4 linked regions of the Danio rerio genome follow. The protein of the gene in region 4 purifies or fractionates together with the protein of the main gene of each other region. This does not show direct contact. Links are inferred from orthologs where the notes say so. Each region holds a gene or a part of one and is shown on either strand. Other genes may lie near its edges.

Region 1 (7,395 bases), on a different chromosome or scaffold from region 4:
GACTATTGAAGCTGTGTATCGATAGACTTTTTCTTCAGTGTTTCGGAAATAAAGATGACTGAATTGAATTTCAAGTGTTGCCTTTTTCATATTGAGCATTCTCCTTTCATGTATGTTTTAGGAGATGATCCCATTTGCTGTGGTGGGAAGTGATCAAGAATATCAGGTCAACGGAAAAAGACTTCTGGGCAGGAAAACAAGATGGGGAACAGTAGAAGGTTGTGCTTACATCTTTACACACACACTTCTTGTATTCACCACACTCACATTTGCACATCCTCTCTCTCAGTTCTTTCTTTGTTGTTGGGTTAGTGTCCTGTGTTCCTCTTCTTGGTTTAAAAATAAACATGCTTTTGTTTAGGGAAAGTATGTCCAAACTTTGGGATCTGTAAGATCTTTAAGAAGAAGCTGATCCTACTTACCAAGGCTGCATGTTCTGTATTTTATCAGAAATACAGTAATAAATATCATGAACAATTGTAAAAATATTTGTTGTTTTAAATTTTGTTATGTATTTAATTTTGATACAGTTGAATTTTTAGCTATCCTGTGAAATTTGTAATCTTTTTAAAAATATGGCCCAAATGATTTTAACAGACCAAGAGAATGTTTACAGTGTCACAGCATATATACATATAAATGTGTAGCATGGTCGCCAAAGAGCAAGAAGGTTGCTGGTTTGAATTCACACTGTTGTATTTTTGAAAAGTCTTATTTCTTTTGTTTGGCAGGAATAAATGCAATTTTTAATCAGTTTTAGGACAATATTATTATCCATCTTTACATTATTTTTAGTTTTTCTTTGTTTTATTGTCTACACTGTTTTCCTATAGCTTGCCTTACTTGCTTATATTGTAATTAAGAGTTTAAATTGCACTTTAGGCTAAATATTAGTATCTTCCAACAATAACTAGTAAAATATTATGTACTGTCATCATTGCAAAAACAAATGAGTAAATGCATGTAATAACTGTCTTATTAAAATGGATTTGTGTGGTACATATACATAAGAATGGTGTTCAGATTCACAAGCATTTTTATTGGAGGAGACCAATACCTCTGGTGTCGATTGTAAGTTGAGGAAGGTTCAATGAGCAATGAGTAATAAAATAATTTGATTAATAATAAGGCAAAAGATGTGACATACTGTAGCTTACATGATTAGTATGTGTTGAGTAAGAAATGTAAACAACAAAACAGAAAACAGTGCTTCAGTTAATATTCTGTATTTATTCTGTAATTTTAAATTCATTAATTGCTTTCAGTCTCATTCCAACATAATCTCACATTCAAGTCATCATTACCCTTGAGTTAGATGACAGAAAACAATATTCATTCCATTTTCAGGCATGCATAGTTGTATTTTTAAGTAGAACTAATCAACAATACCAAATTTTTTTCAACAAAACCAAGATTTTATTGTTTACCACTTACTAATTTCATTACTTCATTTGTGTACAAGCATTTTTGATCATTTCCTAGTGTCCTATTTTTAATGATATTAAAATATTTTGCTGCTCATTCTTTTTTGTTGTATTTTATAAAACACTACCATCTAGTGGCAAAAGGATGCTACTACAACTCAAGCAATAGTATTACATGCTGGCTCTCTAAAAGCTCAGTATTCTGATTCTTTGGCTTGCAATGCTAACTTCTTGCTAAACAAACAAAACAAAACACAAACAGACCGGTATTCACAACATTTTTGTATCTGTCATCCAATAAATGCAAAAATAAAAGGATAATTACAGGAAGTGGGAATGCATTTATTCTAGCTTACAAATCAGGTGATATTTATAAGTGAACTACTCTCTAAAACACTTCAAAAAATCTTCTTTTAAATTATTATTTTAATATATTTGATCGTTTTTTTCTTTTTTTCTTTCAGTTGAGAACACCACACATTGCGAGTTTGCTTACTTGCGGGACCTTCTCATCAGGTACTCAACAATTCAACAACTAATTTCTTTGTCAATGATTATATGCTTAAAATTCCATTACTCGTACTGGTAATTAACACTATAATGGCTGCACATTATGAATCATTTATTAAGCATTAGCTGACAGTTCATCATTAGTTAAGCATTAACTCTACATTATAAGACTTTACCAAGCAGTTTAAAAAAACAGCTAAAAATGCTGTATTTTTTACTTATAAGTAGGTCCACATGGAATGTGCGTGTGCAGAAATACAGATTTAAACAGAATTTAAGACCATCACTGAGTCTATTTATTTACTTGTGTAAATGTGTGTTTATTATATTTATATTATTGACTAATGTAAAAATGTTCATTCAATTTATTTACAATGCAGTTCTAAAGTAAATAAATAAAATAAAAAGTAAACAAAGTAATATTTCCTTTTTATAGTAGATATATTATATAAGAGACTTCTTTACTAATTAAGTAGATCTAATTTAATTTGCATTGTAAACATTAAATACAAGTTAAAAGGTATATTTTGTTATTTTATATATATTAATTTAAGGTTTTACATTCATTTAGCAAAAATCCACATTTTTTTTACACAATTCTACGCAGAAATAGCAAAAAGTGTCGGCAGATTCAGTCTGACTCTACTTATAAGCACAAGTATAATGTACTTAATAATTGTACTTTCATATTTTGATTCTGACTGATTTTTAGTACTATATTAAGTATTGAATGATTTAAAAACTATTTGTATTTATGAGTAGTTGGTGGATTTTAAGATTAGTAAACGATTAATAAAATATTCAAATCAAAATGTATATTGTTCAAAATCTATGTATTATTCATGCATATTGTAATGGTTACTATGTATGTTAATAAATGCTTTATTACCACATTTATTAAAGTGATAACTATTTATACTTTTTAAATCACTTATAAACGAAAATAAAAGGTACCATATTGAATGAAAAATAAATATTTGCCTTCGTATCTAAAAAAAAATGACTGTACAATTGTACATTACTGTAAACAGCCAAATAAAAAATATAAACTTTTTTATCAGAAGAACAATAAAATAATATAATAATATAACAGTATAACACTATTAATTTCAGTGTTAATTAGTGATGTTTAAACTTTACAGTAATTTTATATTTAGATAAGATTTGCAAAGATTTATTTTGCATATTAGAGTTTTATTTGTGTATACTTATAAAGCATAAATTACAAAACTGCATGATGTTGTGTTAATAAAGCATTTATTGACATGCAGGGTAGCCATATGCCTAAATAGGGTATAACAATTTTTATTTGAATATTGCTAATCATAAACAAATTCTTTCTGATAAACTCATTTCCCACTATAAATATGCTTCTACATCAATAATACAGCATTTGTTGTTGAATTTATAAACTGCTTCGTAATGTCTTATAATGTAAAGTTAATGCCTAACAAACGTTAATCATACAATAATTAATTTAGTAATGAAAAATTATTCATTATGAAAGTATGTATGTACAATCATTAAAAACATTAAACATGTACAAGTCAATAATACAGCATTTGTAACGGTATTAATGAACTGCTTGCTAATGTCTTATAATGTAGTGTTAACAAATTATGAATCAAGTTAGCAATTTACTAGTAAAAATCTTTCAAGGTCCCTTTTTCTTTGTGTTTTCCCATTTCTAGGACTCACATGCAGAATATTAAAGATATTACAAGCAGCATCCATTACGAGATGTACCGCGTTCGCAGACTCAATGAGAATAACACCAAACCAAATGGACAACCAGCAATCCACACCAATGGTGTACCTGAGCATGAAGTTCTCTCCCATGAGATGTAAATGTCTCTAACTATATTTCAATACATCAGTCCGTCCATCTATCTATTTCTCTTCCTCAGTTCACTGTACTTTTTTCCATCTGCCCGTTTGTAATCTTTGACTGTTCTTTTATAACATCAAAAATTTCTGAGGATTTTTTTCTTTAGGTGTGTAGCAAAATGTAATGTTCTGTGATGAGAGTTTTATTATAGTGTTTTTATGGTAATTGTTAAGTGAGCTGGAGCAATGGCTTGTCAAGTTTAACATGCCATGATACTCAGCGTTGGATCGATCACCCAAAAAAATTATTATTATTATTATTTTATCTGTTAAACACAAAACAAAATGTTATGAAATGTACTGTTTGTTGTTGTTCTTTCCTATTGTGAAAGTCAGTGGTTACAGGTTTCCAAGATATTCAAAATAAAAAATCTAAATCCAGGGTGAGTAAAAGATAGTAAAACAGAATTGCCATTTTGGGTGAACTATCAATTTAAAGCTCTCACACATAATTATTACAGATAACACAGATGGTTTTGTGTTAAAACTGCAACTTGACAAAGAAAATGTAGCTGTTGCTTGTAGAATTGAGAAAACTTACAGTGTAAAATCCACCACCCCTATCAAGTTTTAGAGCATTTGAAATTTTCGAGTTGTCCAAATGTAAAGAGCAGGACTTTGGTTTACAGTATGTAGTCGCATGACAGGATGTATGATCCCGATTATGAGTGTTATATGGAAAAACATGAAAGTGTTGAAATATATGAAAGTGTTGTATAAATACCATTTAAACAGAGTGCAGACAGTTTGGTTTTACAATCTCCCTTTTCTGTAATAAATCAATCTTGTGGTGTATTATTACCCATTCTATAATTTCTGTCCTTGTTCCATTTTCAAAGAGCATATTTTATTTTATTATTAAGTGTCAATTTTTTGTAAAAGCCTATGTATGTGGAATCCATAGTTTTTTATTATTATTTGAAGAAAAGCAAACTTAGTTTAATTTGTGAACATTTATATATTTATAAATGGCATCATGTTACTTGGATGTTGTGGCTTTTGTAGGTAAAATGTAAAGAGTTCTAGAATTACCACAGTGACCCAAGCATCTGTACATCTGTGTTTTTCTCCATTCGTTTCTTTGCAGATATTAGTATTCAGTAAAGCAAGTCCTGAGCCATTCTAATCACTATCTGTGTTCTGTAATAGGCTGTATACAGTATGACCTTTATTTGTTTATATAGTGTTTCATGTTGTCACTGATTCTGAACAGTTTTGGATATTTTAGCCCCTCACAAAAGTTCATGGAGGATTTTGCATTATATAAAACAGAAAAAAGTCATGGATACACATTTATAAACAATTTGTGCAAATTAAGTGTCCAAAACTTGCATCAATGATCAATTAACAATATAGGCTAGCAGTAAATTGGCTGATTGAAATGATTGCTTAGCAATCATAATGTGTCCAGTATACATGCTGACATTTTTTATTATATAAGAAAATAAAATTTGGACACAATTTAGATTTTAGCCCATTTGCTTGCATAGTTTAATCTTACTTGGTTGTACATCTTATGCAGTTTTAACCTGATTTTAAAGATTCTTCTCTCAGGTTCCTATATTGATATGACTGTCAAAAAATACAATGTGTCAATGTGTATTTTGCAGCTGATATTAATGAAAATCTGTTACCAAGTTTCAAACAAACTAATATTCACATAATACTATTCAGCCAGTATTTTATGAAATGACATATGTATGCCCAGTATGGCCAAAGAAATTATATGTACACATTTTAAATAATTATTTTGTGAATATTGTACACCCATTGTATTTTGATGTAGTAAAGGTAAAATTTATATTACTGTAGATCTGGAAAAAAAAAATAAAGATTGCTATTTTTATTGTTGTAACCTTTGCATATGATTCTTTCTTAGTCTTAATAAAGATTTAAATGAACAAATATATTGTCTATAATATTATTATTTAATTTACAGTTTATTTAATTAAAACACAATTTACATTATTTAGGAGTATCACAAAATTAATATTAAAATGGGCAAGATTCTTCTCCTTCTTCTTATTTCAATGACTTTTATAAGGGTCCATTGACAAAATCACATTATGCCCAATTTTGACACATCATAGCGCCAAGTGTAAATTTTGTAGAAAACCCTAGCAATGCCTTAGCAATTGGCTGGCAACAGCTTTAGTGACCACTAAGAACACCCTAGCAATTCCCAAGTAATGACTTAGCAACTGCCTAGCAACCATTCAGAACACAGCCTAGCAACCACTTTGCAACACCCTAGCAACCACTTAGCAACACCTTAGCATGCACATAGTAACCACTCAAAGCACCCTAACAACCAACTAGCAACCTCCTAGCAGCATGTGAGAACACCCCAGCAACCACCTAACAACACCTTTGCAACCATCCTAAAATCAGATGGACAACATTGAGCAGACCTTCGACAAGTTCACAACATCCTGAGTGAGAACATACCTCGCAAGAGGTTATATGTTGTACCCCTGGGTTGCTAGAATGTCTCAAAGTACTCCTTCGGGAGGGGAACTTCAATACTATGTGGAAAACCAAAATGCTATGTTGAAAACTTCCACTATGGGGATTTTGTCAGAATCCAATCATCTGAAAGAGTATAGAAACAGGCCAATGTTAATGATTTGGTGGCATCAGCATGCACAGCTGGTGTCAATTACACTTAAACGAGTTATAAAGACGCAGCTCCTGCCATGCTAGACATCCTTTTCACTTTCAGAGCCATTTACAAAGCTTCTGAGAGAGTCTTTGAGGGTTTTCTCCAAGTGAATCTTCACAGAGAGACAGAACAGAAAGCAGGCTGCTTCTCGTGGTTCAGAGTGTTTGATGCGTGGCGGCAGACGGTCGAGCTGGGTTTCTCTCTTGTTTTCTTTGGGTCCGGTCCTCCCAAGCGGTAAGTTTTTCTAAAAGAGCAACACGGTTGTGCAGCCTTTTTTAAGATGTCGCTTTGACCGTGCGTTTCTGGATGCGGTGGTTTCCTGTCACCGGATGAAGGGCACGAGCACTGCGTTTCATGTCTGGGGGTCAAGCATGTTGATGCGGTGCTTACGACAGTGCATGCTATCATTGCGATGGCATGTTTGTTGCGTAGTTAAGATTGCGGCTCGCTCTTACAAAAGGGCGATCCATCCCAGTGTCATATTGAGAAGCAGACTTGATGGCCATGCTTTCCTGGGCTGCTTCGGCCGTAGGTCTTGTGATGGTTTATCCTCGAGCCCCACGGCCGGCTCAACTAAATGGGTGTTATGTGGAGGATGCTAAGAAGGCAAAAACTTCTAAGCCTCCTGTTTCCTTCTTTCTGAAAATGCACAGTAAGCTCACGCAGTCCTGGAGGGCACCTTTTTCTGCCCGATCTGCGTGCGCTTCCATCCTCACGATCCTTGGAGAGTGGGCTGTCAATGTCTGAGGGTTGAAATGAGGGTTGAAACCCCCTCTCTCCTTCTGGGGTAATGTTCTAGAAGCAGACTCGGTGGCCGTGCTTTCCCAGGCTGCTTTAGCTGTGGGCCTGGAGATGGTTTATCTCCCAGCCCCACGGCCAGACCGACTAAAGGGATATTATGTGGAGGATGTA
Region 2 (9,070 bases), on a different chromosome or scaffold from region 4:
GAACGGGAGTTTTGCAACATGGATGTGCAGCTGACAAATCTACAGCAACTGTGGGATGTTATCATGTCAATATGGACCAAAATCTCTGAAGAATATTTCCAGTACCTTGTTAAATCTACGCCACAAAGGATTAAGGCAGTTCTAAAGGCAAAAGGGTCAAATCCGGTAATTGTAAGGTGTACCTAATAAAGTGGCCAGTGAGTGTATATATAGTTTGTTAGGATAAAACAATATCTGCCCAAGATACAAATATTTTAAATCTTTTTACAAAGATATACTGAGAAATTAACAGTTTTATTACATTCTTAGGAATCCACAATTACACATTTTAAGTGTGACATATTAACAGCAGAAATGTACAAAATATATTATATAGCATGGGATTTTTAACTATAACTCAATAAAATTATGGAATTTTATATCAGCATTTTAAGCAATTGCCAAAAATTTTCATTCAAATTGACACTCAATGTTTGAACAAGAGTTTATATTTACATGCGTTAGTATTTCCATGTTGTAACTCAACACATCATCCTCACTGCAGAGCAGCTGGACCCTTATTTAATATAGTGATGGTTGATTTCTTTTAACATCACATAGTTTTTTGTTAATGCGGTTGATGGCATGTCATGCAACTTGTCCATGTCGACATCTGGAAAATTAAGCTAATTTTACCAAGTGATGATTAATGGCAAAAAACTGGATTTAATTAGCTGCATGGTCTATGACATTCACAACACAAGGGATATCCGTCTTTTCCTTATTGCAGTTGTTCTAATGGAACTGTGTGCTTGTACCTCTTTGGGGGTCAGGTTGTCTGTGATTCTCTGTCCCTCAAAGAGAAACCTTAGAGAGTTCACGGGTACACCCTGCAACAAATAAAACACAATGTCAAAATAGAAACATCTGAAATTAACTTCACTTATGATGCCTGAACGTATGGCAGCATATGTTCATGTCTACTGCAGAGCTCAGGGGTTACACATTTCCCATTTCAAAATTCCAGATTTTTTCAGACAAGTTTGATGCGTGTCACTTTGCACGAACTGAAAATACAGACTACTACTTAAATACAGGCTTACGCTTGATAGGCTTTTAAACTAGCACTGACTGCTAACGTTATAAAATAACAGTCACTATTTACCACTATAAATTTACAGATAAAATGATTTATTATGGGGCATTATCATCACACCATCCAAACTGTCACCCACATAACTTGACATAATTTTAAGTAATACATTTAGTACATAATACAGTCACGTGTGCATTTTGAGTGCAGATCCACCCTCACATGTTGGTCTGTTTCCACTGAGCGGTACGGTTTAGTATAAGGTACGGTTCGGTATGCTTCTTTGTCCGTTTCATTGTCAAAAGATAGCAAAAAGCAAATCGTACAATACCATACCACGTTTTGGGAAGTAATAATTAACTTATACCTAATAAGTATGTAATAATGAATAAGTATAAATAATCAACTTGAGCTCATGCTGATAACGTACGGATTCTTACAGTCTTTCAGAAATGGACAGACCCCAGAGTAACGCTAACAAAAAACAGCAAATGACAAACAAACAAGCAAATGATTCTTTCAGCGACCCAAAACACAAATAAACTGGGATGTTTAATTATGATCAACACCTTTTAGACTATAATGAACTCGGAATGACAGAATTAACAAGAGTTACATGTGCTGGTAAGGAATAAAGAAACAAATGAGAGGGTTGCACTGACTATGTTTTGTATTGTTGTTTTTTTTTTACTCAAATAAGGCCTAAATGTACATTTTGGGTAATTTTTTTGTAAATTTGTAATGGAGACTGTAAGGATCTGTATATGTTCACATTGCATTTTATTGCGGATGTTAAAAGTTCATAGAAAGGTTAGTAATTACATTTTTTTACATAAGTATTTATGTGTATTGACCTTATTCTAAAATGCGGAAGTGCGCCTGATTTCACGATTGTCTTAGAACTTCCGTTTCAGTCGCCTATGGGAGAAATGACAAGGAATTATAAACGGCAAAAAACGGTCAAACTACTTGCTCTACAAACAAATGTTTGCATGACTACACAGACCAAGTAGAATAAAATAACAAGGAAATATCAGTTTGCAACATCAAACAGCGAAACGAGCAGTTTTTAATGTCTAAAAATGAATGGAAGTGAATGAGACCGGAAGTCTCGTGCCAAAAAAGATTCAAATGGCAGCGCCCACTCGTCTGCGGAGAATAAGGTCAATAAAGCACCTGTTTTGTGAGAAGTGCTTCTCATATGATATGTGAACGACCCATATGGCTTTACTTTTAGTTGAGTGACATGATGTAGACTGCAACTTTCTGCCTCCATGCCTACTACTAAAAGGGTACCATTTGGCAGTGGAGACACAAGCCTGATAAAGGTTACCCACACCGTACTGATCTATACCACACTGTATGATTTGGTTGAATTGGTTTTCTTAAAAAAAACAGTAAATAAAGAGTAAATGAATGAGAATAAACTTAAAGACTAAATACATTCACCTCCAACACACTGTAATCAATCTTTAGATATGGAACAAATATAAAACAGCAAAGTAAAGTCAGATGTAAACGATCGCACACTCTCGTTATCAGTTTCTAATCAGAGTAATGTGGAGCTGAACATTTTTACATTAAAAATACACACTTTTAAAAATGACAAACAGCGGTGTGTAATGAAAATACAAGACTTGAATTCATTCAGTTGTTCTAAACTTCTCAAATCGTTTTGTTTAAAGCAAATTCTGATATTGTCTTTGTGCATTTTCTAGAATAATGGTGCTGTTCACAAAACCATCGCCAACCAACTAAGATCACAATTTCCTTCATTACAAAAATAGTTCAGCAATTCAGTGTTATTCCAAATATACATCCATACATCTTATAGCAAACATTCACAAACAGCATCACACACTTGGTTGGTTGGAGCTACACCTCTAGAGCTGTAGTTAGATGCAGAGTTCCAGGCTGTGTTCTATTCTGAATCATCCACCCTATGCCCTTGTCCATTTGAACACAAATACTCTGAATCATTTAAAAACATTAAAGGTTGTCTTGTTCACATTTTATATTAAAGTTATTCTTATTACAGTTCAGTTTATAAACTTCAAATTGACAACTGTGCTATCTCCATAGTGCACTCCCATAACATTTATGCCATTTTAAACGCAGCAGTGACTCGTGAAGAAAGCTACATTTACAATCAAAAACCTGTTTACACACTTCCAGCAACTGTTAAAACAAACATTTAAGGTAATGATTTTAACTTGTATAGAAAATTGATCTCTAATATACTGTAAAAATGCTATGGTCCACACATTTCTTTTACATGGCCCATCATAAATTGATTAAACTTAATTTTTTTTCATAAATTTAAGTGGGCTTAACTTAAAACAATTAAGTTGTCCTCAAGAACACAAGTTTCAGCTAATTATATATAAGTACTTTGAACAAGCCGCAAAAGTCTTTTTTTTTAGTGTATATGATATATGCAACATTTCTGCAGTGGTTTGAGTGTTTATAAAACTGTAATAGTAATTTATTTAAATACAAAAATATACTTTTGTAAAATGTAATTTCTGAAACATGTAACTTTATAAGCAACAGATAAATATAAATATATTTTTTACATCTTTGACCATATACATATATATATATATATATATATATATATATATATATATATTTCAGAATTAGATTGCATGTCATTATATAATGGGTTTATGTTTTATTTATAATAGCAGAGAGTATGATATGGAATATTGTCAATAATATTTGTAAAAGAAAGTAAATACTTGTGTCGTTGCGTTTCATTTAAGAAAGCAGAGATAAAGAAAAGCCGAGGCAAGCAAACTAAATGTTTATTACCAAAACTCATAATGGGTAAAAATATATATATATATCCTGTGTGTAACAATATTTTCTGTACCAAAACTAAAAGCATCTATTAATGTGAATTTCCTCTTAATAAATTGTTACTCCACCCCCTTTAGATGATCATTACAGACGTTTTATGTTTTAACTAACATGGTTCAAATAATTGATCTGAAAGAGAGAATAAACTGTCCAGGGGTCTCATTTATAAACATGGTATACACAAAATTGGGGGTGGAAACACGTGTACGCCACTTCTTATACAGGTTATTATGATCTATAAAAAACAAACTTGACGGGAGAATGTGCGCAGCTTTAAGTAAACACATTTCGCTTAAATATTGACTTAATTCAAGCACTTTAAATCATCATAAAAGCCATAATAATTAATAAATAAATAAAAATGTATTCTGGTGTACATTCACTTTTAGGAAAGTTTCTATGCAATGTTTTATAAATGAGACCTCAGGAACCTTAACTGAAACATACACAACTATTTAAACATTGTTTTTTGTTTCGGCAATGACGCATTAATTTGATCACAGTTAAGATTTTTACAGTGTTAGTGTATTTCTATTTGTAACAATACTCACAATAATACAGATTTTATGCATTTTTGATTGAATAAAAGTAGCATTAGTGCGTTTTTTAAAAATCCTACCCACCCCCCAAAACCTCTGAATGGTAGTGTAGATTTATCGTTATCCCTCATAAATGGAAAAACTGACTCACCTGTCTCTGACTGTAGGATTCCTTCAGCTTCTTTAAATGTGTCGTCATCTTCACTTTAAAGTGAATTTCACTGTTGTCCTGCGAAATGAAAGGAAATCATCAAATCTGTTCAGATCTTTTCATATATCTCATTATAAAAGAACAGCTGGATTGGTTTTAAACAGTAATGGGTTTAAATATGAAAACCTGCATTTCCTAGAAAACAAGTGCTTTTGCTCACCTGACCGATCACTTTGAGTTTAATGTACTCTCCATCCTTCTTCTCGCCTCCATCACTTGAGGGCTTGGTCTCCTATTAAAACAAAACAAGCATTCGATTACTGCATGTCATATTGTTTTTTTATCAGATTTAATGTAATGAATTAAAAAAATATCTTGGGACTGAATTCAATAAAATATTGACTGAAGATCGTATAAAATAAGGTAGATCCGATTTTAATAAATTATAATTATATATATATATATATATATATATATATATATATATATATATATATATATATATATATATTATATATAAAATAATATTGTGAGTGTTGTTATCATTTAAACACTAGGCTGTGTGTGTGTGTGTGTGTGCTTTGAATGTAAACACACAACCTAACGTTACTCTTCTATCGCGAGCTGTTAATACGAGCACAAACCGAACACAAACTAACGTGAACAAATAACGAATAATCCTAATGAACATATCAAAAAATCAACAATTAATAACTAATTCAAATGTTCAGCATGGTCTATCAGCTCAAGATATTATGAACTCTGCTTTCAGGGCCCAGAGCAGCTAACTAGCACACATGCTAATTGGACGATTTGAGGAAGAAATTCACATATTTTTGGCATTTGTGAACACAGTAAATTGGACTAATGTGTAAATTGCGAGAACCAGAAACTATGCACAGTTAAAAACACTCAAGCATTTTTATCAAAAATACTTTCCAAACCACAGTCAGCTAGACAGGCTAAAAGCTGGGCCCTCTTATTTTCATTTTCTATAAGTCCGTCTTTCTCGTCTGCTCTCATGAAAGTTCGATTCAGCATCACAGGTTTAGACTCACCGTGTCTGACATGATATTCCGCAATGTGCAGCCCTTCTGTAGATCAAGATTGTTTGATTTAAACGATACAGTGTTATGTACAGTAATGAGAGGTTTTGATAGTGCTACCAGCAGACCCACAACACAGCGCCGTTGACGTCATTGGAAAGGGGCTGGACTTTCTATGACACTGGGTCGATGACCCAACGAGCGTTGTTTTTCTCACCACGCTCTTTCTGATTGGCTCCAATCGCCATCTGCGATGTTGCTATTGGTAAAACATAGGGAGGCCCGTATTTTGCAAAAAAAAAAAAAAAAAAAACACATCAGTATTTTGGTCACGAAATATTAGAGTGCAAAAATAATGTGACAACTACACTACACCTCTGGAGGACGAAACCTGCAAAAGCAACAAATAAATAAATACGCAAATAAATAAATTAATTAACACATGTACAAATTCCTTCATAAATAAAACAGTAAATAAATACGCAAATAAATAAATAAATAAATGACTAAATATATACACAAGTTCCTACATAAATAAAATAATTAATAAATAACTACACGAATAAATGAATAAATACTCAAATCCCTGTGTAAATAAAACAATAAATAAATAAATACACAAAAAATAAATAAATACAAATTCTTGCATAAATAAAACAATAAATAAATAAATACACAAATAAATTAATAAATAAATAGACAAATTCCTGCATAAATAAAACAATAAATAAACATGCTAAATAAATAAACAAATGTACAAAATAAATACACAAATTAAAAAGATAAAAAATAAAAAGCAATGAATAAATAAAGTAAATAAATAAAGCAATAAATAAATAAAACAATAAATTAATATGCAAATAAAAAATCAATTAGTTAATAAATTCGCAAATTCCTGCATAAATAAAACAATAAATCGTTTATTTTATGTATTTATAACTTTTAATGCCATAGATTTTAAAAAAGACATTAAGACTAATTCAGTGGATCAAAGGTAATATAAAAAATCTGTATAATGTTACTGAACATTTTATTTCAAATACAGTTTCTTCTGAGAATTTTAGAAAGCTGAATGTATTGTGTATTTAACAGAAATATCAAGCAGAATTATTATTAATCATAGAGCACCAAGTAAAATTGACCATAACAAATTCTGAACTCTCATTGGAATATTAAACATATTTACATACAACAATACAGATATTTAAAATTGAAATAATATTTCATATTATAATTGTTTATTCATCTTTTTGTCTAAAACATTTAAATATCTTTTTTTTTTACAAAACTTTTGTTTAGTATATTATTATTATCATCATCATCATCATCATCATCATCATCATCATCATCATCATCATCATCATCATCATCCTCATTATTTGGAATATGACATTATCCAAAATATTGTCTCTACACACTTTGAATATAAAACTCGAAAACTGAAAATCAACACGAGGTGATGGTGCATGAAAATGAGGCTGAGACTACTGCACATGCGCACATTTCACTGGCAGTATTGCGCATGCTCGTCCTGTCCCATGTGCGCCTCGTGGAGAGAGCGACTTCTTGTAGCGGAAGGCTCTCGGTCTCGGGAGCTCGACCTTAAACTTTATTCAGAGCAAGAAAAGCTGTTTCAAAAATGTTAGTGTTATTTGAAACTGCCGCCGGCTATGCCATTTTTAAGGTAAGCTCATTTTTTTGTGTTAATTAAATGTATTTGTAGCCGTTTTCTTGCAGTTGTGTAGCTTTTACGGTTACACTTAGCTAGCCGGCGAAGTTAGCAGTGCTGTCCGAGACTTTCAAAAAGACAAAACGTACAATCTAAGGATTTTTATTAATGCAAATGCTGTTAGTACATATGTAATTTTGTAGCTCACTCGTTTTTCCCCAGTGCGGTGTGTCAATGAGGGTAAAGCGGGTCTCATGTGGCCTGCTCTGCAGCACAGCCACGTTGTGTCTTCAGCGCTTTTTCTACACTCACTGTTAGTCGAGTTTGGACTGTTTTTAAAGTAGTCAAGATGATAAAATATAATTTAGTAGTTGCAAAACAGATGCAACAAATGTATTTACATATTTAATTAAATCTTATGAAGATATTTACTGTTTAAATGCACCTCGCCACTATAGCTCATGTTTCCACATGGTCGCTCAGCGTATAACGTTAGAGGTAACGTTAAAGTTGGTTTTATATTTTCACTTTCGCACATTCTCCTTAAATTAAGTTCAGAAAAGTATCATTTACAAATTCTGATTGGTAAAATTATATTAGTAGTCAATGGCTTATCAACGTATAACATTGTTCACAGTCGATTAATTGGTGCTTATGTTGCTTTAAGGCATACTTCAATGCGATTTCAGACCCAACACTCAAAGTACCATGATAAACAATATAGGGAATATTAAATGAATGACTGCGAATATAAAACCAACTTTACCTCAATGCTTAGTGTCGACCGCTTGAAGGCTTTAAGTAAGTCTAGTATTTAGATGGTGTCTGTGCACTTTAATCAACAGCTTTTTCTGTTGTCCAGGTCCTGGATGAACAGAAGCTCCAGCAGGTGGACAGCCTGTGGAAGGAGTTTGAGACGCCGGAAAAAGCCAACAAAGTGTGAGTTTTACAGTAGAAATGTGTAATATTATATTTAATGTTGCCTTGTCTCAGAAATGTCCTTGATTTGATGATGTTTAAGTCGAATTTTTGATAATATAGTTTATAAATAAGGAACCAAACATGCTTTAAGACCTTTGACACATATAATATTAAATTATTATTTTTTTATATATATTACTTTATCGATATAGTCATGTTTTATTTTCAGGTAATTTTGGACAATGTATGGCGTTTCATTTGGTGTCAACAATGCTTTAATCTCTATGAAGATTGTATAAGTGTCAACTTCTGTGAATTATTTTTACATGCTCCCCATTGACAAGTTGTACATTGTACACTAGGGGTGCAACAAATCAATATAATCACGGTTTCTGTATGGTATGGTTTGTGCTATGCTTAGAAAAAAATGACTACAGAACAATTCAAAGAACAATAAACATATTTATTGATGAACAAACACCTGACAATGCAATAGCTTTACACACATGACCTTAGATTTGCATGTTCTTGCATTAAATAAAAGTAGGGCATTTTGAAAATTGTATGTTCAAATAAACTGCTAAGAAAATAGAGAAAGCTTTAATTTTTCTATTTTACATCTCCACTCAACAGTCTCAACCAATTATGCTAATAATTGTCAACACATATTCGTAATTGGGCACTTTTAAAGTATTGATTACTTCTGTTTACATGATGCTTGCATTTCTAAGACAACAACACATTTTTATTTATGATTTCTTAATGAATTTATTATGATTCCAGAGGGCTCCTTTACACTTACTAGCACCA
Region 3 (8,335 bases), on a different chromosome or scaffold from region 4:
GAAGTCATTGTGGCTGAATAAAGGAGGTAAGAAGCGCAGCATTTTTTTTATTAAAGTTCGGAGAGATAACTTATTTATCTAAGGAATTTCTCTAAATTAGTCGGTGACTAAACCTCACCATGAAAATCTTAATAAAAGCATAAACACATTTAGGGTGTTTATTTGCTGAGATTTGTATTAAAGTTAGTTTTATTTGTATTGTGCAATGTGTATTTGTAGGGCTTTCATGCATAGTATTTATTATGAAAAGGGTAAAAACAATAAATCGTTGTATAAATGCTGTATTGTTTAAATCGTTATCCATTAAAAACGCGTGAAGGTCATGTGACCAACAGGAAGAACCAGGGAAGACTGCAGCATCTCATTTTTCAGAGCACAGGTTCTCTGTTCTCCCAATCTCCTGAATTCGTTCTTCCGAGGTAACTTGGCTAGACCAGTCTCCACAAGAATGCAAGTCTGTTCTCTGCGTTCTTGGAATTTAGAAACAGCCAGGATTTATTTTTATTAAGTTGTCATTCACATTGATTTATATTTATTTATTTATTTTTTGGTCACCTCTTCTACAAAATCCCATAGGGATGAAGCTGTTCAGAATGGAACGCAGACCAAAGCATACTTTAATTTTGGAGAGCAACACCTATGTTTTTAACACAATTAAATGGTGCATAGTCTTGGTCCCTCCCCTACATTTTTATTAAACGATAAGGCCATAGAGCACCCAAAAATAAAAAATGCATTTACTCTGCCTCAAGTGGTTCCAAACTTTTGAGTTTCTTTTTTCTCTCAAACCAAAAAAATATATATTATAATAAATGTTGGAAACTGGTAACCATTGACTTCCATAGGATATTTTTCCTGCTTTGGATATCAACTCTTACTAGTTTCTAACATTTCTCAAAATATCTTCTTTTTCAAAAGAAAAAAGAAACTCCATCTGAAAAGTCAATGGTGCATAAACGATGTCAAAATTTTCTGTTTTGGGTGAACTGAATCCTTTTAATTTGTGTTCTGCAACGACTTGTTTGGTTTTCATTGAGATTTTTCCATCTGATTTCATAACATCTTTTGTACATCGTTTTTATGGAAGTGTTTGCTTATATTAAATGAACAAACTCAAGTTACCAAGTAAGAGAACAGCAAAGTTAAAGCAGATAAATATGTGTGTGGCAGCTACTATTTTGTTTGTATTACTTGTATTTTGATACGAAGCAGTGAAATATGATATTCTTTGTTTTGATATGCTTTCTCACAACACATCCAATAACGACTATGCCTTTTGTGGCTGTTCAAATGATCAACTACTTGAATCTACACTATGAAAAAATATAATCTAATGGATTTTCTATTTGATCAAATGTTGACAAGCTCAAAACATTATATATACACACATATATTTAGTGTTCTCCACTTGCAAAAACACATCTTAATACCAGGTATAAACAAGGCCTCAGATGTACGTCACAGTATGGTTGTAAAGATGTCTCTCTACTTGTGTTTTATCACAAGTTTAATCACGCAGACTCATTAGTGGTGTTGTGAAAGCCACCAATAATACTATGCAGTCGCCAAGCTGCATGCTAAATCCAAACAGTAGGCTCATTAAACGAATCCTAAAGCATGCCTCTAAAGCTTTCTGTCTCCCTCTTTCTCATTAGAGCACTTTAGCTGAGTCATCTGATATCCCAGTTTGGCTCATTGCCACCAAGGGCCATAATGGAGTGGTGGGAATGGTGAACTGCCTCAGACAGGAGCCTGGAGGCAACCGTATACGGTCCGTCCACTTATTTTCCACATACCGTGAACTACTGTAATGCTATATTTGTGAAACAAGACTTAAACATTTGACTTGAGCGTTGTTTAATATTTACTGCAAATGTGCATGTGTGTATATATAAATAGTATTCATGTAAATGTTTTTTTTTTCTCCTTTCTCAATAGGTGTACATTTGTTTCTAATTTAAGTAAGGGTGCTGCTGTTCCCTCCCTTCTTCCTAATGAAAAGGTCATGAAGGCATTATTAAAGAAGGACCTGGTTATGAATGTGCACCGGGATGGACTCTGGGGTGTTTTTAGACACCAGTTGTTAACACAAGGTAAAATGAAAAGACTTTCAGTGGCTTATTTAAAGATTGTGTATTTTATGTACATTTAATTAACATGTACGTATTAAAACATATAAAATAATAAGGTTATTATATTAAATATTATTATACTTTAAATGATTAAAATGTGTAGAACATTATTTTTTTAAGTTGTATACACTCACCGGCCACTTTATTAGGTACACCTGTCCAACTGCTCGTTAATGCAAATTTCTAATCAGCCAATCACATAGCTGCAACTCAATGCATTTAGGCATGTAGACATGGTCAAGACGATCTGCTGCTGTTTAAACGAAGCATCAGAATGGGGAAGAAAGGTGATTTAAGTGACTTTGAACATGGCAGGGGGATTGGTGCCAAACGGGCTGAAGTATTTCAGTGCTGATCTTCTGGGATTTTCATGCACAACCATCTCTAGGGTTTACAGAGAATGGTCCAAAAAAGACAAGCCAGAGGTCAGATGAAAATGGCCAGACTGGTTCAAGCTGATAGAAAGGCAACAGTAACTCAAATAACCACTAGTTACAACCGAAGTATGCAGAAGAGCATCTCTAAACGCACAACATGTCCAACCCTGAGGTCGATGGGCTACAGTAGCAGAAGACCAAACCGGAATCCACTCCTGTCAGCTAAGAAGAGAAAACTAAAGGGACAATTCGCACAGGCCGACCATAATTGGACAATAGATGATTGGAAAAACGTTTCCTGGTCTGAGTCTCAATTTCTGCTGCATTCAGATGGTAGGATTAGAATTTGACATCAATAACATGAAAGAATGGATGCATCCTAATGCTATCATGTCAATATGGAAGGTAAAATGGGGTCCACGCCAATACTAGTAAGCTGTACCTAATAAAGTGATCAGTTAGTGTATTTGAATTATTTGGAATATAGTTTTTGTCCCATCATATTAAAAAGGACTATTGTAATCGTATTATTATCTGGAAAATAAACAGTGATTTTTAACCCTTTTTTCTGATCGGTTTTATTTGACCTTTTTTTTTTCCCTTTTCCCTTTTTTTCCTCTCTTGTTTTGTTTAGATTTTTTTGAGTGTCTTTTGAAGATGTATTGTTATGTCTGTATTATTGTGAAAATTATATAAACATAATTATACATTTAAAAAATTGTTAGAACTTGGAAAACTTTTACCAACAATTTGCATGTATCTCTACATTGAAACTTTTGACTCTAAATTGTGTGATATGATTATTTTCTGTACTGTGCATTCACGTTTAGATCTCAGCGAGGAGTTGACGGAGCAGGCTTACGTGAACGTCCTGACTCGTGGTGACCTCTCATCTCTGCGCTGGATCGCTTCCCCACTGCGTCATTTTGTCGCGTCCAGTCCCAACGTGCAGCTCTGCCGCGTTTACTACTCCTCCCTCAACTTCAGAGACATCATGCTGGCCACTGGCAAACTGCCTCCAGATGCCATCCCTGGTTTGTACCCCATCCTTTTTGGGCTATAAGTGAGAGCTTGTACGTTAGCTTTACCTTAATGGATTAATGGTTTTATCCACGTCACCTTTTTTTAAGGTGAAAAAAGGTTTTATCCATACCTCAGTTTCTCATCAAATCATAACCAATAAAATGCTCTCTACTGTCTGACATGCCCCGCCCCCTTCAAGACGCTTTTAATTTGCTTTTCATTTGATGCACTTGACCTCAACCACTCTAACTGGCAAATTGGTGATAAAACAAAACGCTATTGGCCGTTTTTTAAAAAGGGAGGAGCTACACTATGTCCCACCTTCTCTTTGTGTTTCTGTTAAGTTTGCGTTAAACCTCAAATAAAAATTCATATTTCAAAGCACTTCATGGTATATTTAAAGAAACTTTATGTTTCTACCAATGCAGGAGACGTAGCGCTGCAGCAGTGCATGCTGGGAATGGAGTTTTCAGGGCGAGACCCCAGTGGGCGACGTGTAATGGGTTTGCTGCCAGCTAAAGGCCTTGCCACCTGTGTGGATGCAGACAAACGCTTCCTTTGGGACGTTCCATCCAGCTGGTGAGGCAATCTGGAATTCTAAAAGCTTATTTTATTTAGGTTCAAAATGTCTTGATGTCTAAGTGAAGCTCTGTTTTTGTGCAGGACATTGGAGCAGGCTGCCTCTGTGCCAGTGGTGTATGCCACCGCATATTATTCCCTGGTGGTGCGAGGCCGGCTGAGGCCTGGAGAAAGTGTGCTGATCCATTCAGGCTCTGGAGGAGTGGGACAGGCCGCAATTGCTATTGCACTTAGCATGCGCTGTCGAGTCTTCACAACTGTGGGTGAGTGGGACACTTCTAGTTTAAATGTTTAACAATGAACATTATAGCGTGATTATTAGAGTCCTGTTGTGGTTTATACATTTCTTGTAGTGCATAATGATCTTTTGGGGCCATAAAAATGTCTTTACAGTAAAATTAATATAAGTTACAGTAGAAAACACAGAGAGTTCATGCTTGAGGGAAGATGAGATGTCAGCAGTGTGAGAGTTTTTCATCTGCATAAGGCTTGAAGCTTACGCTGCTATTCTGAACCAATAATCGAGAACAGAAAGCAGTTGAAGGATTGTGTGTTTAAATCGATTATTTATCTGACTCCATTGTAATTAGTCTGGCTCCATTAAAGTTGTTATCATCATTGATAAAGAGAAAGGATCTCAACGCCCTAAAGCAGGCAAAGTTGTTTATTAAGTTACATGTTTAAATGCACAGACAGTAGAATGAAACAAACTAACATGCTGTATGGAGAATTTAGCTGTAACATATGCACTGCTGAGCAACAAAGACAGTGAAACTGCCTTTGTTAGCATATGAGGCTACACATCGGTGTGCGGGAGACGCAGAGGAAAAGCCATTCTCCCAGATCAACATTTACCTTTCCTTTTTATACCCTGAGCAAAGCATTGTCAAACATGAGTGAAAACTAACCCCCAAAACCAGTTGAACATGAGAGCAAAGTTGAGGAGATAAAATGGGGGAGAAGTACTTTAATATACTCTCCTCAGGCCATGACTCAACTATTTTGAATATATTGTATATTGAAATACAAATAATCAACCTCTCTGTTAATTTCATCACTACACCGCTTAAATCATAAACTGTCAAATGACTCCAAACATGAAGAAGTTATATGAAGGAAGATCACAAGCAGATTAATTGTGTCTAGTGAAAAGCACATCATTACTGTAAGCAAATGGCAGATTTGTATTTTGTATTAGAGCTGTGATGCACACTGCCACACCAGGAGGACCCATCCCCTGCTTGGAATGTCTCAGTAGTCCTTCATTTGCATAGAAGGAATAGTATATAATAATCTCTCAGCTTACACCTTTAAAAAAAAGTAGATTTTAAAAGTGCAATTTGTAATGATTTTGGTAAGGAAAAGATCTAGATGACCTTCTAGGTCCTTGCTATCTGCATTTATAGTTCAAATAATCCCTTCCAAATCCCTTCCAATGCATTTATTTCTAATTTGTGTTTGTAATCAGGCCCAGAAAAATGTATATATAAAGTTGATGATACCTATTTGTATTGTATTTACTGGCTTATATATTGGTTAACTGTATCAGCCAAAAGTTGCACATATGTCCATTGGGACCCTGGTTGGATCTCTTTTCTAATTCCAAATGAAAATATTTGTCTCAATTTAATTTCCAGGCTCTAAAGAGAAGAAGCAGTATCTGCAGGAAAGATTCCCACAACTTACAGCTGAATCTTTTGCCAACTCCAGGGATTCTTCATTTGAGCAGCACGTAATGCTCAACACTCAGGGCAAAGGTGAACTGACTGTATGACAATGACTCCGAATACAGAACAGCCTTGTTGTGGATTGAAATATTAATCAACTGTTTGTAAATGTGTCTTCAGGAGTAGACTTGGTACTAAACTCTCTTGCTGAAGAAAAGCTGCAGGCCAGCTTGCGTTGTTTGGCTAGACATGGCCGTTTTCTGGAGATTGGCAAATATGATCTTTCCAACAACACACCACTAGGTAGAGGAATCAATCAACGATCTTCTTCAGTCTATTATTTGTACTTTTCCACCTCACTATTTAAAAATGCAATGATCCAATCGCTTCCACTTCAGGTATGGCTCTGTTCCTAAAGAACGTGGCTTTCCATGGGATCCTGCTTGATGCTTTGTTTGAAGAAGGGAACAGGGAATGGGAAGAGGTGTCTGATCTGCTGAAGAAGGGAATCTCCAGTGGAGTTGTTCAGCCGTTGCGTACCACAGTCTTTGAGAGAAACCAAGTGGAGGAAGCTTTCCGCTACATGGCTCAAGGCAAACACATCGGAAAAGTGCTGCTACAGGTAAAGATGGTAAACGTTCATGAGTGTGCCTATAAAACGAGAAATGAGATGTTGGATGTTAAGATTTTTATTTTTTTTTTGACTTTGTAACCTCTCAGGTGCGTTCAGAGGAGTCAAGCAGCTCTGGTCCTGCAGTGTCTGCTCTCTCTATCCCTGCAATCTGCCGAACTTTCTGTCCCGCTTCTCTATCGTACATCATCACTGGAGGCCTGGGTGGCTTCGGGCTGGAACTGGCCCAGTGGCTCACAGAGAGAGGAGCTCGTAAACTGGTGCTGACGTCACGGTCTGGCATCCGCAACGGTAAACATACACTGGAGATTGACCAGTTTTCATGACGGTGTGGGTTAGTGATAGTTAGCTAAAACTTTAGATACTTAAAATTTTATTTTACTTCAAAAACTGAGTTAAAGGTGAAATTAAATATAAATATTAGATGGAAAAAAAACTTTTCAATTAGTTCATGAAGCAACAATTTTGAGTACAGCAGTTACTTAAACTAAAATGAAATAACTTTGTTAAATAACCATATATATAAGCATAAATACATATAGAAAAAGAAAAAATATATACAATATATTATGACATAGATCCAACATCACTTTTTATTTAACTACTGTCCTGTCACAAAGGCCAAAGACACCAAAAATAAATCTAATATATGTATAATAATATATTAATGATACATAATTAAACAATAATTAAAGATAAATAAATAAAAAAATTAATTAATATTAATAAAAATAAAATTGTCACAAAATTATTAAAACTTAAAATTAAAAAATTAAAACTAACAATAAGCAAAATAAAAATTACCACTATATTGATAGAATGTGAATAATACAATAGCACTGATTAGGGTAACACTTTGGTGTTTTGTTTGAAGGTTATCAGGCCAAGCGTGTTCGTGAGTGGCAGGCCATGGGCATCCAGGTCCTCGTGTCCACCAGTGATGTCAGCACCCTGGATGGCACAGAACGGCTCATCACTGAGGCCTGCCGCTTGGGTCCAGTTGGCGGCATCTTCCACCTGGCCATGGTAACATACAGTTATTGCTATTAGTTTACATTCATTTAGTCAATAGACAGACAGTGCACTTGTGACATTTCCATCTGTAATATAGGTCCTTAAAGATGGTATGCTGGAGAATCTGACCCCACAGGAGTTCATTGAAGTCAACAGACCGAAATATGATGGAACCATCAATCTCGACAGGTGAGATGACACATCCTATTGTGGATGATGATCAATTTTAGAACATTGAAGGTAAAACTTTTTGTAATTTTGTAATAATGTTGAGTGTTTGAGTGTATTTTAGTAGATTATAAATCTTTTTTTATGATTCCAGGCAGCGTTTTTATGCAAAAAATGTATGATTATGTTTTTGATTATATATTATATTATATTATATTATATTATATTACTTTATATTATATTATATTATATTATATTATATTATATTATATTATATTATATTATATTATATTATATTATATTATATTATATTATATTATATTATATTATATTATTATATTATATTATATTATATTATACTATATTATGTTATATTATATATGAGTAACAATAGTTCTTTAGCCTATATTTTTTAAAGATTTCATATACATTTTTTTGTATATACATTTTATTTATGTATTATATATGTTATATATTTATTATATGAATATTTTTAGTACAAAAGTGTGTAAATGATTATTAATAATACTGTTTGCATTATGAAATTGAACTTTTTTTTTTTGCTGATATCATCTTAAATTTTGTAATTTTTATAATTTTTTTTAATGTGTTGAATTTAAAAAAATTGCTCCTTTTCCACAGTGTGACTAGGCAGAAGTGCCCGCAGCTCCAGCAGTTTGTGGTGTTTTCCTCTGTCAGCTGTGGTCGTGGTAATGCCGGCCAAAGCAACTACGGCTTCGCCAA
Region 4 (8,335 bases):
ATCTCTTTGAATAAAAGCAATGCTGCAGAACCCGTTTAGTGTCAGCACAAAAGCCTGCGGTTTTAACTTTACTGGGTTGTTAGCACCACCTAGTGGCAGAAGCTATTAGTGTATTTTAAGGTTCTACTAATTATGAATAAACGTTTTCATGTATGTATGCAAGTATGGTAATAACTATTTACTAAATCTCAAACTAACCATAACCCTTAATACCTCTTTCTCAATTCGTCATATATTACTTGAAACTGATTTGATATTTGTCATAAATACTTTACATAATCAATAGTTAAATGTAATGAACAAATTAAGATGAATAAAAAATACTTTGCATACTCATTTGCTTATTAATATCTTATATGTAGTAGTTATCTATTAGTATTAGAATCTGTTTATGCTATTTAATGAACTTGAGCTCGCAGTGAACATTTATTTTATTATTAGCCTTTCAGTCGTTGTTAGTTACTGTTGATCATGAGTAACAGACAATTACTGATGGAAACTTACTGTAAAGTTTACCCTGTTAAATAAAGCCATTAAACATATTTCAAATAGAGTTTGGGAAAAGTCAAGTCAAGAAATTTATTTGCCATATGTACTAACCCCAGAAGACTTTAGTATGCTAAACTAATAAGAGCAGCCTGTAAACACAATACACGCAAGAACAAAAAAAAGAAAAACAGGTCAAATATGTAACAAAAATGATTGTTTTAAAAAAGATTTTTTTTCCGCTTACCACTAGGCTATTGGGCCGACACAAAAATGTAAACTTATTGCAGAGTTTATCCTAACAATAAAATATTAAAATCTTTATTTTTAAATAAACTTTGATACAGTACTCTGATGTTCAACTCCGTGCATTGCATTAGGGTAGATACAAGTCCTAGTTAAATATAATATGTGGTATATTGCAAGAACTTTAAAAGAGTTACAAAGCATAACAGAGAAGTGTCCTGTTTGAAACTGTTAATAACCCAATGACTTAATGGTTACAGGATTTGGCAAATGGGCAGTTTTTCAGCATGTGGCTACTAAATGCTTTGTACGCTCAATCTTCTCACTCTTTCCCAAAGGATCACTGAGCTGATGGGATATGAGCCAGATGACCTCTTGAACAGATCAGTCTACGAGTACTATCACGCCCTTGATTCAGATCACCTCACCAAGACACATCACAACCGTGAGTGAAGCTTATCAGTTCAATAAAGTTGTTTAGTTGTCTACCTGATCTTGATTCAAGTTTGACTTTAATGTAAAGCTGATACAGAAGGTGTCATGCGAATGCCTTTTAATTGGAAAGCCTTATGTCTCTGCAGTGTTTGCAAAGGGCCAGGCCACCACAGGCCAGTACCGCATGCTGGCTAAGAAAGGTGGTTTTGTGTGGGTTGAGACTCAGGCCACTGTAATCTACAACCCCAAGAATTCTCAGCCGCAATGCATTGTGTGCGTCAACTACGTTCTCAGGTATGGATTCTGTTTTAGAAACAAAATATTGTGAAGCTTTTTGTGCATATTCTTATAAGAACATTCACAGTGCTAAATTTTATTTTTCTGCTATACATATCACGATTTGTTGTATACTTCAACAGATGAAATGAATGACTGTATTTGGAAACAATCATTTTTAGAGGAGTGCATTTGTACAAAATATTCAATAAATCAGCCACAAGCATTGATAAATACAGTGGGGCACAACATTATGTTATTTCTATGAGTCAAACAGAATTCTGACGAAAATATAATAATCAAATCATGTAAAATATAGAAATACATTTGTCACAGGCCTTAAAAACATACAAATGTTAAACTTTTTGTACCTTTAAAGTTCAAATTAGCAATGACTTTACAAATCATGTATTTGAAAACTCCTGTGGTTCCTGGTCAACTATAATCCTAATTTGACATTGCAGGTCCTGCAATAGAACTATTGTGGATTCACTTGTGATATTGATTCTGAAATGATATATTGTGCGTTTCTATGTAAAATGTATGCATAAATGCTAATTAACTCATATTTTCAACTTTACTACTCTGTCTTATCCAGTGGCATTGTAGAGGGGGATGTAGTCCTGTCCTTGCAGCAGACCGTGACTGAGCCCAAGGCTGTTGAGAAAGAAAGTGAGGAGACTGAGGAAAAGACCTCTGAATTGGATATTCTCAAGCTCTTCAAGCCAGAAAGCCTCAATTGCTCATTGGAAAGCTCTACACTTTATAATAAGCTGAAAGAGGAGCCAGAGGCCCTCACTGTGTTGGCACCTGCAGCAGGCGACGCCATTATCTCTCTGGACTTCAACAACTCAGGTAATTCTTGCTGGATGGGTACATTTTTTCAGTAATTTGAGAGTAACTGGAAGCCACCTAAATTCATTCAGTTTCAATGAGAGCTTATTAAAAGATCCATGAGCAAAGATGCACATATCTTTTTATATATTCACATCTAGATTAGTCTTAAGGGACATTCCTGCAATGTTTATTAACACTTCTAGTCTATAGTTTTAATTTTTTACAGTTAAAGTGAACTCTGTGAAATTAGCCCCAATATTGATAAAGAAACCTTAAAATTTCTAACTGGTGGAATCAAGTTGTTTATACCCACTGTAGAATGGGTCAATCAAAGATGACACGCAGTTTTTTAGTACAATTATAGATACTCCCAGTATGTTTTTCACCTGTAGGAGTAGATCCTCCAATCTGTTGTCTTTGCAAAAGCACTTTATCTGTGAAGCATGTTCTCTCTCAACACAGTTTGTGTTGGCTTTAATTCTTTGAGACATTTTTTTATTTAGTTCCACTATGCTACTTTTGAATACATTTTTATCACTGTTAAACCGAATATGGTTTAAGAGATTTTAGCAATAAATGAAAAAATACTTAAGCTTTACTGCAGTCAGTTGATATTTTCTCGCCATGAAAATAACCAAAGAACCTGGCATGGCATTAAACATAAACAAACCTTTAAAGTGTAATTTGGGGGATGTATGAACAGGGATGTATGCTTTTAGAGTTTAACAGGATTCTTTGGAAGTCATTTCTAAGATGCAGATTTTCGCTCAAGAAATATTTATTGTAGTCATTGTTGAAAATTGTAATGTTTTAATGAGTAGAAAGTTCAAATGCACGTCTATTTAGAGAATAAATTTCTGTTGCAACGTAAGAGACTTCACTGACTATGTTTACATGGACATCAGTAATCGAATTATTTGCCTTAATCTACAATAATAAGATAAAGGCGTTTACATGAGTTGCTTTTTGAAAGTTTCTTTCATGATCACATTTTACATGTTATAGCACATACTTAGATTACCGTCATTGCGTCACCGCATTATCCGCATTTCCTCCGAAGTTTCATGTAATTTCGGGTGTTTTATTGTTAATTTGTCAACTTTAACTGCGGTTTGGCACTTTCACTTTCATTCGTGCATGCCCCCGATGACAAACGAGATGTTGGATGCAACTATGAACTGCTGGAAGAGTTGTTGTAATGGAAGTTCATACCGCATGCTGAATGGAAGAAAAAAATGTTTGTTTCTTTATTGAATGATGGAAACTAGTATCATTTGACTTAAACGGTATTTATTTTCCTACAATGTAAGTCAGTAGCTATGCTTCGATCCACCTATTTAAAAAAAAAAAAAAAAAAAACGATTGATGGAAACGCCACGATGCGCATACATTTTGAAAATGCGCATGAACTTATGCGCTTAACTGAGTAGGATAAACTTGTTATTCGATAAGAAAAGAAGTGTAAACTACGATGAAAACACTTTTACCGCACAAATTTCATTATGAGCATTAAAAATGGTCATGTGATTCTGTTATAAGAGATCATGTGATGAAAATGTTTGTAAATGGACAAACCAGCTGGCTGAGCACAATATAAAACAGCTGAAATGTTGTTTTGGTCATTCTAAATTGCCTTACCGTTTAAGTATTAGTGTTATTATATTATTAATGACCTCCAGAATCAAGAGCGTCTGTGCTTCGTGTCTCACACCTTCAAACGCCACTGCGCATTCATTGCGTGTCAGGATTGCCTTCTAAGGTGCAAATCATTTATTAGATGAAGAGAAGATTGACACAGCTTCTTCTACTCCAGCAAGTTCGTTTTTTTTTTTGGTTGATATTTGGTGCCAGTTAATCAGGAAATGACTATTTTGTTCGCTTTGATGGAAACGCTGCTTTATACACACATTTTATGCGATAATCTAGGTTTGTTACATAGCTAATGGCTACCAACTTCCTATACTCTGCTAAAGTCATCTTTTATGTTTAACAGAATTTTGCATTGAATTTGGATGTAATCTACTCATGTGAATACTTCAACTTGCAATTGGTGTGAACTCTGTATTACTGACCATAAACATTTCAAGAGTGTGTATCTTTAGAGCAGTGTTTCTCAACCACATTCCTGGTAGACCACCAGCTCTGCACATTTTCCCTGAGACTGAAAGGCCTATAATGGGTGTGACAGACAATGTAGATAACCAAAACATGCAGTGTTGGTGGTCCTCCAGGCACATAGTTGAGAAACACTGCTTTAGAGGATTAAATGCAATCCCCTGGCAGCTTTTTATCTTATGAAGACTAACAACTCTTGTCATTCACTAATCATCTGAGATTACAGGAAATGTGCTTTCATAATTTTACTGAAGTAAATCTAATATTAAATACACACAGTTCCTTGGTGGTCTACCAATAATAATTACCGGTATCCATTTCCCTCCAGATTCTGACATACAGCTGCTGAAGGAGGTGCCCCTCTACAATGATGTCATGCTGCCTTCCAGCAGTGAGAAGCTGCCACTCAGCCTATCTCCTCTCACACCCAGCGACTCCATCCCAGCTCTGACCAAACTAGAGACTGGAGGAGAGGACTTCCCTTTCAGCTCTGCCTCTGATCGTGTGCCAGACCCCACAAACACACCCTCCACATCTGGACTCGGCTCTTCGGGGGTAAACACTTATTAAACGCTTGCTATTCTTGGTCATTTAACAACAATTGCTCCCTTGTAATGGTTAATGAGATACTGTCACTGACTTTAGGTTGTTTTTTTTTGTCAATCTTAGCCCAACAGCCCCATGGATTACGGTTTCCCAGTGGAACCAGACATCAGTTCTGAATTTAAACTCGACCTGGTTGAGAAACTGTTTGCTATTGATACCGAAGCAAAGACACCTTTTTCCACCCAGGTAACTTTTTATTTAAGATTTTAACTACATATTGTTTGTCTCACTCTCTCCCAAAATCAAATTCTAATTCAAATGAGCTTTATTGGCATGACTTGTCAAGTATTGCTTATATATTGCAAATATGAATATATATACACATGTACATAAAACACAATTACAGATTTGATAAGTACATATGCAAATAAAAAAGACTAAGTTTTTTATTTTATATTATTACAAAGAAAACGAAAGAAAAATAAATTATAAAAAAAACAATATTATAATAAAACAATAAAATAAAATACACAACTTTGCAGTCATTAGATGGTTTGTAATCTCTCTTGCACATTTCTGTGACCTCTAGCCCATGGAGGATCTCGACCTAGAGATGCTGGCTCCTTACATCCCAATGGATGACGACTTCCAGCTGCGCATCCCATCTCCACTGGATCCGCTCCCATCTGCCACTCACTCTGTGTCAGCCATGAGCTCTTTATTCCAACCCTTACCCTCCTCGCCAGCATCTCCAGCCTCATCTACCAGCAGCACAGTGAAGCAGGAGGCGTCATCCCGGGCCCCTTCACCCCTACACCTGCTGCAGGAGGTGTGCAGTGCACCTGTCTCGCCCTTCAGTGGCAGTCGGGATGCCTCACCTGTTCGATCCAGCACCCCACAGAGCAGCAGTCAGCTCAACAACAGGTAAAGCTCTCACCGACACAAACCAATGCAATGTAGTCTGTCTGTGTTAGATCAGTTCTTTTTTGAAGGATCACATTAAGCTTTAAGATTAAGATTAAGCTTTAATAAGAGCAATTTATGAGATGTAGTTTGGTACAGTACTCATTTTGTTTCCTATATGGACACACACACACACAAAATAAATTTATAACTTCGACTTGTCAGTGTCATTTATGTACTGCTGCTCTCGAATGATTTGAAGTGCTTATGTCAGAAGTAAAAAAATAGCAAACCTTGCAGTAACACTGACTAACTAGTCTCTGGAAAAGATTTGTATTTGTAGGGCTTCATTTTAGCCAACATTTAGTAATTGCTTCCTAACAGGCAACTTATGAAATCTTCACACATTCAAACCCTCTGGAGTGCCACATATAAACCTTGTGAAAAATAATCAAAAAAAAAATATATATATATATATATTTATATATATATATTTATATATATATATATATATATATATATATATATATATATATATATATATATATATATATCATATATGAATAAAGATATACTATAATTTATTTATTAATTTACTTTATCGTTTTCCAGAGAACTTATTTTTTGCACAGGCGATTGATTCGTACATCTTTTTATATTAAAAGTTAAATTATCTAACTTTGTTACTATTTGTTACTCAATTTACAGAGAAATGTCTCCAAAGATGTTAGCCTTCCAAAATATCCAGCGTAAGAGGAAGCTAAACGAAGTGACGTCGCTTTCTGAAGCTGTTGGACTGGTCAGTATGAAGTTTTAAACAACAATTTATTTTTGTAAAGACAAATAAAACTGTGATGCAAAAAGTTACTGAATGAGTCCTGCATAGTTATGCCAGTCTGATGGTTTATCTGCTTCCTGCAGGGGGCTTTGCTTCACAGTGTGGACAGTGCTATAGACCCTGGAAAGAGAGCGAAGGTTTTAGAGGTGAAAGGGTCCAGTGTGCTCGGGGGAAACAAAACAATTCTCATACTGCCCTCTGGTGAGTGACTGGACTATTATCACTGATGCTTTTATTGATTTTTTTTTTGTGTGTAAAGTGATTTTCAAGTACATTCAAATGAAAAGTAGGGCTGAATAATATTTTGTTTGAGCATTGCTTTTGCAATGGATAAAAAGTACTAGATTACTTAATAAATATTCAAATGTAAAGATATTATTAAATATTATCGTATAAAATTATTTATACAATGATGACCATGTTATTTTACATTTGATTGTTCAATTTCTGTATTTGAACACTATTAGACTACTCAGAAAACCATAAAGCACTGTTTCTTAAACTGTTATCGTTGAACTGTTGTATTTATATATGCTTGTAATTTATTTAACTTTATGCAGATGCAGTGCATAGAAAAAGACTTGATTACCCTGGTCCATCTAAATGTACTTAATCCTTCTAAGTAGAGCTATTCAAATCGTCTGGTGAAATTATATTCCTATCACAGCAAAACAAAATCTCACATTTTCCTAATATTGTGCTGCACAAATGCAATCCTCGATAGTTTGGCTTGAAGCCATTTTAAAATGAATAAACTTTACAATTCTCAATCATTTCTTATAATTACCTTTTCAACTGGTAGGCCATGCTTGCCCCCTGGAATTGATTTACAAGGGGCAATTTTATAATTACACAATTACTACTTTCTGTCTTGTCTTTTATATTAAATGCTTAAATTTACCCACTTAAATCAGAAAGTATACTGTTAACTGGCATGGGAGTATTGAAATGAAATGTTAATTTATTATAAATCCCTTTGGGCTTACTGGTGAAGAACATGTCAGTGTCTTTGAGATTACACAAAGATGAATCAACTGTCACTGATTTTCTGTTTACTACTGTTTGAGGGAAGCACATATCTCATCAAAACTGACTGGATCTACCTGATGATCTGACTAAAGTCATAAAAGATCTAAACAGAAATGGAATTAAGGCATGTGGACTATGCCGATTTTAATGGCATTATTGAAGTGCAGTACAGACATGTAAACAGCGCAATCAAACTATTACCATCGTGGAGGATTTTCGCTGCATTTGCGACAGGATAATCTTTAAACTTAGCTGTTTTACACTATTCTCTGAACCTACTGAGTATGTGAAGGACCACAGACACCTGCATCATGAAATGCTGAGGTTTTTCCCCCCATACAGCGTGTTGAATTAAATTCCACTAAAACAACACTCACTCTTTGAGTAATTCATACTCGCATCCATTATCTCGTTTGTCACAGGGGCATGCATAAAATGTTACTGAATAATAGTGAAAGTGCCAAACTGCAGTTAAAGTTGACAAATTAAGAAATGAAACACCCCAATATACACGAAACTCTTGAGAAAACGTGGTGACGCAATGATCTTAATCAAATTATGTGCCAGAACATTTAAAACAGGATCATGAAGGGAACATTAAAAAAGCAACTCATGTAAACACCT

The links.
Region 1: the proteins of hif1ab (region 4) and septin9b purify together in Homo sapiens (affinity purification with western blotting; 4 studies listed by BioGRID and IntAct, with this or other methods). This does not show direct contact. The link is inferred for Danio rerio from reciprocal best matches to the Homo sapiens genes HIF1A and SEPTIN9.
Region 2: the proteins of hif1ab (region 4) and sumo1 purify together in Homo sapiens (co-immunoprecipitation; 3 studies listed by BioGRID and IntAct, with this or other methods). This does not show direct contact. The link is inferred for Danio rerio from reciprocal best matches to the Homo sapiens genes HIF1A and SUMO1.
Region 3: the proteins of hif1ab (region 4) and fasn purify together in Homo sapiens (affinity purification with western blotting; 3 studies listed by BioGRID and IntAct, with this or other methods). This does not show direct contact. The link is inferred for Danio rerio from reciprocal best matches to the Homo sapiens genes HIF1A and FASN.

Annotation. Positions count from the first base shown.
Region 1 is NC_133181.1:24,956,244-24,963,638, reverse strand, and holds the end of septin9b (septin 9b), read left to right. Parts: intron 1-121; coding exon 122-218; intron 219-1,888; coding exon 1,889-1,940; intron 1,941-3,625; coding exon 3,626-3,782; 3' UTR 3,783-4,214; downstream 4,215-7,395.
Region 2 is NC_133181.1:10,601,341-10,610,410, reverse strand, and holds the start of sumo1 (small ubiquitin-related modifier 1), read right to left. Parts: upstream 5,797-9,070; 5' UTR 5,695-5,796; coding exon 5,683-5,694; intron 4,917-5,682; coding exon 4,845-4,916; intron 4,703-4,844; coding exon 4,625-4,702; intron 870-4,624; coding exon 798-869; intron 1-797. Other genes in the region: nop58 (nucleolar protein 58), read left to right, coding at 7,310-7,354, 8,202-8,278. UniProt on the Homo sapiens protein: Ubiquitin-like protein that can be covalently attached to proteins as a monomer or a lysine-linked polymer.
Region 3 is NC_133187.1:35,341,452-35,349,786, forward strand, and holds part of fasn (fatty acid synthase), read left to right. Parts: intron 1-1,655; coding exon 1,656-1,771; intron 1,772-1,938; coding exon 1,939-2,093; intron 2,094-3,339; coding exon 3,340-3,543; intron 3,544-3,960; coding exon 3,961-4,111; intron 4,112-4,195; coding exon 4,196-4,374; intron 4,375-5,748; coding exon 5,749-5,868; intron 5,869-5,958; coding exon 5,959-6,081; intron 6,082-6,176; coding exon 6,177-6,400; intron 6,401-6,498; coding exon 6,499-6,700; intron 6,701-7,283; coding exon 7,284-7,435; intron 7,436-7,520; coding exon 7,521-7,612; intron 7,613-8,233; coding exon 8,234-8,335. UniProt on the Homo sapiens protein: Fatty acid synthetase is a multifunctional enzyme that catalyzes the de novo biosynthesis of long-chain saturated fatty acids starting from acetyl-CoA and malonyl-CoA in the presence of NADPH.
Region 4 is NC_133195.1:22,870,815-22,879,149, reverse strand, and holds part of hif1ab (hypoxia inducible factor 1 subunit alpha b), read left to right. Parts: intron 1-1,070; coding exon 1,071-1,177; intron 1,178-1,313; coding exon 1,314-1,461; intron 1,462-2,041; coding exon 2,042-2,298; intron 2,299-4,723; coding exon 4,724-4,950; intron 4,951-5,064; coding exon 5,065-5,187; intron 5,188-5,530; coding exon 5,531-5,865; intron 5,866-6,552; coding exon 6,553-6,643; intron 6,644-6,765; coding exon 6,766-6,883; intron 6,884-8,335.